Linked DNA regions of Danio rerio. The protein of the gene in region 1 binds, or shares a complex with, the protein of each later gene. Links are inferred from orthologs where the notes say so. Each region holds a gene or a part of one and is shown in the gene's direction. Other genes may lie near its edges.

The links. The genes of interacting proteins can lie anywhere in the genome.
Region 2: immt (region 1) and micos13 share a complex: the UniProt entries of both Homo sapiens proteins name them as parts of the mitochondrial contact site and cristae organizing system (MICOS) complex. The link is inferred for Danio rerio from reciprocal best matches to the Homo sapiens genes IMMT and MICOS13.
Region 3: immt (region 1) and apooa share a complex: the UniProt entries of both Homo sapiens proteins name them as parts of the mitochondrial contact site and cristae organizing system (MICOS) complex. The link is inferred for Danio rerio from reciprocal best matches to the Homo sapiens genes IMMT and APOO.

The regions. Positions count from the first base shown.
Region 1 is NC_133189.1:18,404,887-18,408,454, forward strand, and holds part of immt (MICOS complex subunit MIC60), read left to right. Parts: intron 1-1,510; coding exon 1,511-1,627; intron 1,628-2,871; coding exon 2,872-3,005; intron 3,006-3,568. UniProt on the Homo sapiens protein: Component of the MICOS complex, a large protein complex of the mitochondrial inner membrane that plays crucial roles in the maintenance of crista junctions, inner membrane architecture, and formation of contact sites to the outer membrane.
Region 2 is NC_133197.1:19,398,424-19,402,475, reverse strand, and holds the start of micos13 (MICOS complex subunit MIC13), read left to right. Parts: upstream 1-1,198; 5' UTR 1,199-1,345; coding exon 1,346-1,374; intron 1,375-3,428; coding exon 3,429-3,585; intron 3,586-4,052. Other genes in the region: hsd11b1la (hydroxysteroid 11-beta-dehydrogenase 1-like protein precursor), read right to left, coding at 459-543. UniProt on the Homo sapiens protein: Component of the MICOS complex, a large protein complex of the mitochondrial inner membrane that plays crucial roles in the maintenance of crista junctions, inner membrane architecture, and formation of contact sites to the outer membrane.
Region 3 is NC_133180.1:4,984,441-4,988,589, reverse strand, and holds the start of apooa (apolipoprotein O, a), read left to right. Parts: upstream 1-1,295; 5' UTR 1,296-1,347; coding exon 1,348-1,356; exon of another isoform or gene 1,357-1,410; intron 1,411-2,458; exon of another isoform or gene 2,459-2,653; intron 2,654-4,149. UniProt on the Homo sapiens protein: Component of the MICOS complex, a large protein complex of the mitochondrial inner membrane that plays crucial roles in the maintenance of crista junctions, inner membrane architecture, and formation of contact sites to the outer membrane.

The DNA.
Region 1 (3,568 bases):
ATCTAATTCCAAAACATATAATCAAATTATATTTATTTTAGTTTGCAATTGATTGTTTTACATGATTTATAGACATTGCATACGCAGCGCATGTAATGTATTTTAGTGTCTTTCGAAAAATGACATTTCACCTGCACCCTTACAGTCCTAACATTACATGAGAGTGAGGGGAAATGTTTTGCAACCTGTGCAGTAAACAGCGCAGATGAAGCGCGAGCGATTTACATGTGAAGTCAATACAAAGATGGCATTTGACATTCTGTGGTGCGAATTGGCTTTTTTGTGCATTTGACGGGCTTCAGACTGCAAAAAATTGGAGCAAACATCTAACAAACGGAGCAGTGGAACAGACAGACAAGCAAGTAGGCATGGGAAGATAAGTCAAGTTTCAAAAAGTCAAGGTTTTAAAATCACGAAAGTTATCCGTTATTCCCATGGTATATGTAAGGTCTTTTTAAACATGTTTTTCACAACTATTTCAATTAAGTTTTTTTTCTCCAGCAGAAAAACATCTACATCAATAAAACTCTACATCAAATAAACTCTACATCAAAATATACTGGTCTAAAATATTTGAAATGTTTCTTAAAATAAAATATATTGTGTTCAGTAGGGGGAAAAAAGTTTTTTTTTCTTTACCCCGACATTTAAAAGATCTTATTTTAGAGCAGAAATCACAATACATTGATACCGTGAAACCGTGATATTTTTATCCAAGGTTATCATACTGTCAGAAATTTATACCGGCTCATGCCTACAAGCAAGCAGCTTACAATGATGGAGGTTAACGAAAACGATTTTTTGCCATTGACTAGTTTTATGGCAATCCGTGTTTTAGGTGTATTACGGTAGGGGAAGATATAATAATGCATGTCCTGAGTGAGGTACATGATGTCAAATGCTCCAGGGAGTGGAATCTGAGAAAAAGTAAGATTGTGGATAAAAATAAGAGTTATGCAACCTTTGTTTGGCTTAATCCTTACTGTTTTAGATCTTGTCTTGACAAGAGACCAAAAAAGAAGCTTTATTTTTATGATTTGTGTCATATAGCACACTTAACATAGTAGGCTACCTAATATGGTAAATAATATGGATACCATTTTTTATACTTGTATATATTTTTTTACTTGCAAAATTGTCCACAAATTTCTGTGAATCACCACCACAAAATCAAAAAATTTAGAGCAGAAAATTTTACAAAAAAATAATGAAAAAGTAGGGGGTCTGCTTTATGTCATGAGTTTATTTTTCCCTTTTTTTGCTGATTTATTTTTAAAAATCTGATTATTTGAGCCATTTGTTCACAGATCATTTGACTATATTCATGTTTTATGTCTTTATTGCATGCATGATGAAGACACTAAATAGTTTCATCTACATTGTTTAACATCACCCAGTTTTATCATTTCCCCCCCATCTCATATGGTGTACTGCAAAGCTCAAAGAAAATGTGATGATTACCAATGTGCTGGAGTGACTCTTTGTGCTTTGTTTTCGTCTGTGTGTGTAGCTGAAGAGTGTTGTAAGGAATGCACTGAACCTGAACCGGCTGTGAAGGAAAGGCCAGCGGAGGAAGTGACCGCTAGACTGGCTCAACAGGATAAAGCTGAGCTGGATGCGCTGGCAGGTCAATATCCTCACAAATTACACACTGACACATGCATGAGTCTCTATTTTTTATTTATTTTAGTGCTGGGCAAAAATTACTAGTGATTAATCGCATTCAAAATAAATGTTTGTTTGGACATAAGATGTGTATTGACCTTATTCTAAAATGCGGAAGTGCGCCTGTTTTCGTGATTGTCTTAGAACTTCCGTTTCAGTCGCCTATGGGAGAAATGACAAGGAATAATAAACGGCAAAAAACGGTCAAACTACTTGCTCTACAAACAAATGTTTGCATGACTATACAGACCAAGTAGAATAATTTAACAAGGAAATATCAGTTTGCAACATCAAACAGCGAAACAAGCAGTTTTTAATGTCTAAAAATGAATGGAAGTGAATAAGACCGGAAGTCTCGTGCCAAAAAGATTCAAATGGCAGCGCCCGCTCGTCTGCGGAGAATAAGGTCAATAAGATGTATATAAAGACTAAATGAAAATTTTCTCATGTGCATGCATGTGTGTATTTATAAATACATAGTGAATAAACATCATACACACACAAATTGTCATAATAAACTTTTATTTTGATGAGATTAATAACAATGAATTTTTGCTGTATACATTTTTTTTGTGTGAAAATCGTATTGACCTTACTTTTAAAACTTCAGATTCAGTTGCCTATGGGAGAAATGACTAAGAATAAAAAACAGGTGTTTGCATGATTATACAGACAAAGCAGAATAATATAATAGGACAATATCAGTTTGCAACATCAAGCAGCATAACGAGCTGTGTTTAACATCTAAATATGAATGGAAGTGAATGAGATCGGAATTCACAAGCCAAAAATTTCAAATGGCTGCGCCCGCTAATACATAAAGAATAAGTTGAATTGGACATTCCATCTGACTTCAGTGGTTCAACTCTGTTTGTACTGTCTTGGATTTCATCTAAAATATTGCAGTTTTTGCTTTGAATATGAAGAATGGTCTTAGGGGTGGATTGAAACAACATGATGTTGTGAAAAATACCTGACTTTTCATTTATGGGTTAACTAATCTTTTAACAAGTAATTAAATTAAACGGTTCTAATTTGGTAAATAATTGTTTTGTAATGAAATATAGATATATACAGTCTTTTCTGTCAATTTTAAACCGATTAATGCATGTTAAAGTATAAAGGTTTTGGCTTCAAAAAAAATAACAAACCTAAACCTGAATGGTAGAGTATATTGATATAAGTGAGTGTTGGTGTGTTTCTCAGCTCTCACTGCTGGACTGGAAGAAACTCTCGGCAGCTCAGCTAAAGTCACCCTGCAGGCCATCGGAGCTCAGGAGGCTGCGCTGACCGCCATCGCTGCTCACACAGACAAACTCAGAGAAGCCATGGACTCAGAGGTGAACACACTCACACAGTCATTTGAAGCATTTACAAATGGTGTCTGCTAATTGTTATTGCAGAATAAGCTGCCTGAAGTGAAGCAGAAGGCTGTTTTATAAGCCTGAATGGTTTATACAACCACCTGAATGTACTTTATCCTGCTTTTACAGGGCTACTTGCCACAAAATTAAAAAAATTAGACACAAAATATTGTTCTGATGTGTAATAGTTTATTATTTATCAATTAAATGCAAAGCTGACAGAAAAAAAAATATATCTGTAGCACAAACTAACCTATGTATTATTCAGCCCCGAACCATCTAGTCAAAAACAGCAAAATGACAGACAATATATATAAATCTGGATCTAAATGTATTCACTGGCGGTCAAGATGATTCAAAGTACCAGATTGAGAATTCGTTATTAGTGTTAATGGTTGTTGTCTGGGAATAACATACCTTGGAATGTTGTTACTGACCAATCAGAATCAAGTGTTTTAGAGAGCACTGTGATAACATTTTATGACATTAAATGTCAAATGTAGCTAGACTATTTTCTGCTGGGTTTAACATGGTTGTGT
Region 2 (4,052 bases), on another chromosome or scaffold:
ATAATGTGAACACGTAATGTTAACACGTAGATAAATACATTTATTACACTCTCAGAAATAAAGGTATGCATGCTGTCACTGGGGTGGTACCTTTTCAAAAGGTACAGATTCTAACTTAAAGGCTCCATATTGGTACCTAAAAAGATTATATTATATTAGGAACACTTTTGTACTTTTTAGTAATGTGTACCCTTAAGGTATTAATATATACATTTAAGCACAAATTTGTACCTTTTGAAAAGGTACCACCCCAGTGACAGCCTTTGGAGGCCTACCTTCTGAGAGTGTAGATAGGCTATATTAGTTTTTTGGGTCCACAAATCTTTCCACAAGCTTTCCCACCACTTTGTAGCATAGACTACTTTCTAAATAGCTGTAAAGACATATCACTTATCAATTTACAGACAATAGAATACATTTTACAGCACGTAGATAAACATAAAGGCTGTTAAACTCACCCTCATTAAATGATGGAGCACTCCATCGGACCGCAATGAACGCGACGCATATGCTGCAAAGCAGTAATTTGGCATAAAGCTTCATTTGAAGGAATATGGCAAATCTGTGCACAGCTTACAAAATGCACAACTTTGTAAAGTCAGCAGTCGACACCAAGAGAACAGGCAGAACAGGTTTTTAAATCTAAGTTCAGACAGGCGGAGCTAGTGCCAAAGTACAATCCGGCTTTAGATAACTTGGCAGCTAGCACTTAATGCATTTTGTAACTTCTGTTAATATTGTGTTGTAATAATCAGTCATTCTTGTTTTATTTGCATTATAACGTTAATATTGTGGTTGGGTTTATAAATTCGGAACGACCTGACAGACTATGAAATACAAACCGAAAGTAAGGATAAAAACATAATTATTATTCACTTAGGCTTACTTTTTACTTTTTTAAACTTACTTTTATTATCGTTGGCGACTCTGCTAAAGATTCTTTTTTAATTAATATTACACATACAATCTAAAAAAACGTGATTTTAAAATTAGTCAATCGATCTGAGCCACAGGAAAAACGTGGCGGCACTTTCACCAAATATATAAAACCGAATTGTCTTTTAAAGTAACACCCTTCTACTTTTAATGCTTATATATATAGAATATTCATATGTTCAAAAATACTCAAACATATAATTATTACGTTTTATATGTTCGTCGTTCGTTTTGTCGAATGTGCAGATCTACAGCTGGATTCAAAACGAACTTTATTGCTACCATTTCGGTTTGCTAGAGCAAATGCCCTTGTCGGTGAAACTCGCTGACAAAATAGTAAAACAAAGCATCCTGTGAAGTGTTTTGATACGAAATATTGTTCTTTAGAGCATAATTTTGCTTTTAAAATATGGCTGCTAAGATTTTCCCTGTCGTCAAGTAAGTGTTTATGTGTTGTTTTTGTATCTGAAGCTGGTTGCTAACTAAGTTAGCACACAAGTGTCTGTTTGGGTTTAAGTGTTTTTTTTATACTTTATACATTATTATACTTTATATAATTATATTATATATATATATCTGTATTTACATTAAAATTAAATTACCTCGTATTTTAGTTGCTATTTTTACCTATAATGTCGTTTAAATATAGCTAGCATGCTAATTACTCAATTCAGCAATAACTTTGACAGTAAAAATGTTAAATCCTGTTTTGTATTAGAGTTAATCATATATATTTTAAGTAATCATCATATATTTGGGGTCATAATAACCTGAGAAGCTTGTAAACATGCTCTCTTTCCTTCAGCTTTAACGTACTTTGAATGGCTGTATTTGTGATGAAGGTAAAGTTGTTTCCAGTCAAATAAATAGTGCTAATGTTGTTTTCGAGTCATACTTGCATATGATTTCAGACAGAACCTTCAAAATAATAGAGGTAAAGTTGGTTTTATATTTAGACATTCTCCTCGATAATATAATTATCTTTGCAAATTTTAAATGGGGAAATCATACTAGCAGAATTAGGATATCTTGCGTCCAAAAAAAAAAAAAAAAGTTAAGAAAACGGCCGTTTTTCGGTGTTTCTTTTGATTACAAAAAAACATGATTTTAATAATAACTTTTAATCATTTTATATATATATATATATATATATATATATATATATATATATATATATATGTATATGTATGTGTGTGTGTGTATATAAATAATAACTATACTATTTATATAATTACAAAGTTTACATATTCTGTCATTTGATCAGTTATGAGGCTTACATTCATTGCGTATGCATAAATTAAATAAAAACGTAAATTAGCAGTATTATTAGACTTTTGTCAATAAAATAAGGTCATAGTTCGCTGCCAAACATTGTTGCTGTGCACGCTGTCAAGCTGTGCACCTGATGCTGAGCAAAGATAGCCATTTCCGAGTAGCACCTGGTTTGCATGATTGTTTCCGAGCAAGGCCTTGACAGTAATAATAATAATAATGTTATTATTAATAATAATTTATGTTTATAGTTCACTGCCAAACTTATTGCTGCTGTACACCTGATGCTGAGCAAAGATATACATCTGTGAGCAGCACCTGGTTTCCATGATTGTTTCAGAGCTACTGTAGGCTTAAATAATATAATTATTATTGTTATTATTAATAATAATCATTTTAGCACGTGATGCCCACAGAGAGCACTATGCCAAATTAAGTTCTGTTTAACCTATTTCTGCTTAAATTGTAGAAAATCTTTAAAACGACATGACTAATCAAGACTTTTATTTGGAGAATTACACTTATTAATAACTTGGTTCTTATAAACGATCATTTTATAAAATACATTATTTACAGATCTACTGAAGAATAAGACGAATGACATCAATAACTATAATATATTAAGATTTTATATAAACTATAAATAAGAACATTTAAAGTAATAGAACATTATCTGTAAAACAAATCTAAACTGTTATATAGGCTACAGGCTAAATAAAGGCACCTTGTCAGAGATTTACATCGTGTGCGTTAAAGAGGCAATGAATGTAAGCCTGATAACTGATCAAATGACAGAATATGTAAACTTAGTTTATATAATTATATACATATAACTAAATATTAATAATTCAAAGCCTGGGTATTGTCCTCAGAGGGCTCTTATTTTGGGGGCTACGTCACAAGCTCAGATTTGGTTGACCAATCAGAGGAAAATGGACATTTTAGCACCGCCTACATGAGAATAATGAATTTTAATTGTTTTTTTTTTTTTTTAGTTAAAAAATGGATATGGATTTAATTTAGCAGCCAATGATTATCAAAGTACAGCATTGTTTACAGTAAATTTGATGGTGCTAATGTTGTTTTGAAGTCATACTTCCATGCTAATTCTGACCTAATATTCAAATTAGCATGGAAAGCAATAGAAACAGTTAAATAAAGGAATGTGCAAATATAAAACCAACTTTACCTCATTGTATTTGTGTTTCTTTATGTTTTAGGTTTGCAACAAAAGTGACCATTGCGGGAGGAGCCCTGTATGTGGCATATGATTCAGGACTTCTTGGAGGTAGTAATGAGGGATCTGTGGCCTTGGCCCGAGCTAAATCAGCCATACCACCTGCTGTGGATGAGTGGATGAAGTACTTTGGCTTCGAGGTATGAAAAGAAATGAAACTAAGTGTATGATTGATAACGAAAGTAGAACTTGACTTTTTGATGAAGTGTAAGGCTACAGTATATGGCAGATGGCAGCACTGACATTATTGAATAAAAAGAGAGATAGCGGGGAAGTCTTTTGGGTAATTAAATAGTCTTGATGCACAGAAGACTGTTTACATATGGTATTAAAATGCATCGCAACACCTTCACACAAAACTCACGATTTCAGATTTTAAAAAAAGAGCATTTCATAAACTAAGGATGAAACATTTACACACAAATGAATCACAGTTTCATGGTTTTCATTGTTGACGCGCTAGACTCAGATGGAGGGCAGGAAGTGATTCTCCTACATAGGAATCGCTATCAGAACATCAATTGTTCTGCAAACAAATGTTTGCATATGTATGTAGACTGTATATATCAAGTATGTAGACTGCGTCCATGCTTTTGTATGCTTTCAT
Region 3 (4,149 bases), on another chromosome or scaffold:
CCAACCATCACAGTACCCTAAAACAGTAATTATACTGAGTGTTATTCATATTATTTATTAAATTACACATTAGTTATAGTTTATTAAGGTCTACACCGACCCCAATCCTAAACCTAACCTCCACAATAATGTAAAAACAGTAACTATACTGGGTATTATTGATATTATTTATTAAATTACCCATTAATTACACTTTATTAACGTCTACCCCGACCCTAATAATAAACCCAACCATCAAAGTAATGTAAAAACAGTAATTATACAGAGTATTATTTATTAAATTACCCATTAATTATACTTTATTAACATCTACCTTGATCCCAACCATCACAGTAACCTAAAACAGTCATTATACAGAGAATTATTCATATTATTTATTAAATTACCCATTAATTATAGTTTGGTAACACTTTACAATAACAGTACATGAATAATGATGTATTCATATGTAAACTAAACATTACTTTATTATGAATTAATGATGAGTTAAGGTATGCACTAATCATGAATTAACTTTAAGTACAACATGATTCACATGAGTTCATGTGTAAATAACGGCTACCTTAATTACTTGTTAGTACATGTTGTTAATTAATGTATTAATTAACATTTAAGTTTAGGTTAAATGTAACCCACATGAACTCATGAGCTGTTATTGTATAGTTATGTCATGGCTTTACTTGGAGGGGCACATCACTATTAACTCATCCTTAACTACTCATGATCTCCTGTTGATGTTGACAGAACACTTTTCTATTGTTATTCAGTGTAAACTCACTAGTTTGACGTGCATAAGGACTTCATGAGTAGTTAAGAATCTGTTAATGATGATGTGCCCCTCCAAGTAAAGTCACAACATAATTATACATTAACATATCATGAGTTCATCATGGTTGAATTAAGCATAAACTAATGTGGTAATTAATACATTAATTAACAAACAATCATGAACTAACAAGTAATTAAGATAGCCATTATTCACACATGAACTCATGTGAATCATGTTGTAGTTAAAGTTAATTCATGATTAGTGCATACCTTAACTCATCATTAATTCATAATAAAGTAATGTTTATTTTACATATTAATACATCATTATCCATGTACTGTTATTGTAAAGTGTTACCTATAGTTTATTGACGTCTACCCCGACTTTAACCCTTAATCTAACCTCCACAGTAATGTAAAAATAATAATAGTCTCAAAAATTATGCTGTATTGATGTGCTTATCCTCAACTGTATCCCTTCTAGACTTACCCCACATGAACTGTAGGTGGCGCATGCGCATTACCGTCTGACCGCAGCCGCTCAGAAGCGAAGAAGAAGAATCCTGAAGGCTGGAGAAAATGTACAAGGTGAGAGATACAAACTTCAGCAGAGGCGCACAGTTCTCCTTCGTCACCGCAGTCCTGCTAAAACACACATAATAATCACAATCGCGCTCAATTCAGCCTTAAATACACACCTACAGAAACTTTAGTTGGTTCCATTATAAAGCGGAGCGTTTATTTTTGAGCAGGAAACACAAGGACACTGCAGAACATATTAAATTACGTTCATTATTTTACTTCTGTGATTTAAAATATGATGCTGTGTAATATTTCAGAGGTCTCTAGGCCTATAGAGTGGACTCGTTGTATATTAAAAGCGTAAATTAATGAGCGCGGTTGTATTTAATGCGATTATTGTACCGGCAGTTATTGTCAAACTCTGTTTTGGCTTTATTAAATGTGCCAGTGCCTATAATAAAAACATAGGATTGATTTAAAGTTAGTAAAACCGCTGTTATTTAAACGTTATAGTGTTTATTATTTAAATTAATTCACGTTTTTGATAACCGTTGAGTGGCGGCACGTCAGCGCTCAGGTGCGTTTTTAAAACTGAACACTAGATGGCAACAAAACACCGTGAAATCCTACAGACAACCTAAACATTGATTGATTCATTCATTTTCTTTACGGCTTAGTCCCTTTATTAATCAGGGGTCGCCACAGCGGAATGAACCGCCAACTTATCCATGTTTTATGCAGCAGATGCCCTTCCAGCTGCAACCCATCACTGGGAAAAACGCATGCACTCCCATTCACACACATACACTACAGACAGTTTAGCCTTTCCAATTCACCTATAGTGCATATGGTTGGACTGTGGGGGAAGCACCCGGATGCAAACTCCAAACATGCAAACTCCAAACACATATGCCATATGGCCAAGCCGAGGCTGGAACCAGCGACTCTCTTGCTGTGAGGCGATCGTGCTATCCACTGCGCCACCACGCCACCCCTAAATAATGATTTTTTTAACTTATAAATTCGTTAAAAATGTCAAAATTCCTTTATAAAGTATTAGAAATAGTTCTTGTCTTAGGAAAATTTTGAAAAACATTATTGATCCACCTCGAATGTTGACTATACATATATGCAAATGTATCAATAAATATATCATTATTTACACTACCTGACAAAAGTCTTGTCGTTGATTCCAGTTGTACAGTAAGAGCAACTAATAATAACTTGACTTCTAGTTGATCATTTATAAAAGTGGCATAAGGTGGATTTTCCGGATGAATTATCTGTTGAGCTGCATCCCAATCATCACTAATACTAGAGAAAGAACTACTGGAACCTGCATGGAGCCCAGCTCAAATTTGGTGAAGGAAAAGTCATGGTTTGGGTTATATTCAGTATGGGGGCGTGTGAGAGATCTGCAGAGTGGATGATCAACATCAACAGCCTGAGTTATCAAGACATTTGTGCTGCCCATCACATTACAAACCACAGTAGAGGGCAAATTCTCCAGCAGGATAGCGCTCCTCATACTTCAGCCTCCACATCAAAGCTCCTGAAAGCAAAGAAGGTCAAGGTGCTCCAGGATTGGCCAGCCCAGTCACCAGACATGAACATTATTGAGCATGTCTGGGGTAGATGAAGGAGGAGGCGTTGAAGATGAACACAAAGAGTCTTGATGAGCTCTGGGAGTCCTGCAGGAACGCTTTCTTCTTCATTCCAGATGACTTTATTAATCAGTGATTTGAGTCATGTCAGAGATGTATGGATGCAGTCCTCCAAGCTCATGATGGAGTCAGACACAATATTCATTCTGTCTCCACTGCAGCAGGACTTTATATTCTATACTGGACATTATTTCTGTTCAGTGATGAGACTTTTGTCTGAGCAAAGTCAGACCTTACTGTCCTAATGAAATCATTCATAATCAAGGCAGGATCATATTTTATTGTAGTGAAATAAGCGTCATCTAGAGGCTTTTGCTTTTCTTATGACACTTCTGATACCAAATGATCAACTATAGACGACAAGACTTTTGTCAAGTAGAGGATAAATAGTCAACATTCGAATTGGATCCAAAATGTTGTGCATCATCTGTTTGTATTGTTTTCAGAATTTTAGACGTTTATATCATTTAACATTTAATTTTTATAATAGTATATGCTCTTCTTTTGTGTTTAGCTTGTTTACATTTTGTAGTTTTAATTGTAATACTTCAACTTTTATTATTGTTGTTGTTATTTATTATTACTATTGTTATTATTATTATTTTGTTGCCATGGCAACATTTCAATTTTAACATTTATCTACGATTTTTTTATTATTTTAGCAAAATAATTAGTAGTTACTTTTTTATTTTTAATAGTTTCATAAAATTATTTTTTAAAACGTTCATGATTATTATTATTATTACTGTATTTGCCTTTTATTTGAAAAAAAAATATAAAATTATTTTCAAAACTTTATTATTATTATTATTGTTGTTGTTGTATTTCCTTTTTATTTTTAATACTTTCCTAAAATATATATTTAAACTTCCATTATTATCATCATCATTATTATTGTTTTTTAATAATTTAATAAAATATTTTTTAAACTTTCATTATTATTATTATTGTTGTATTTCCTTTTTTATTTTAATAATTTCCTAAAATATATATATTAACTTTCATTATCATTCTTGTTTTTTTATAATTTCACACAATATATTTTTTTATTTCATTATTATTATTATTATTATTATTATTATCATTACTTTTGCATTTACTTTTTATTTTTAATAATTTTATAAATTTGTAAAAGTTTCATTATTATTATTATTGTTATTATTATCATCATCATTACTTTTGTTTTTACTTTTTA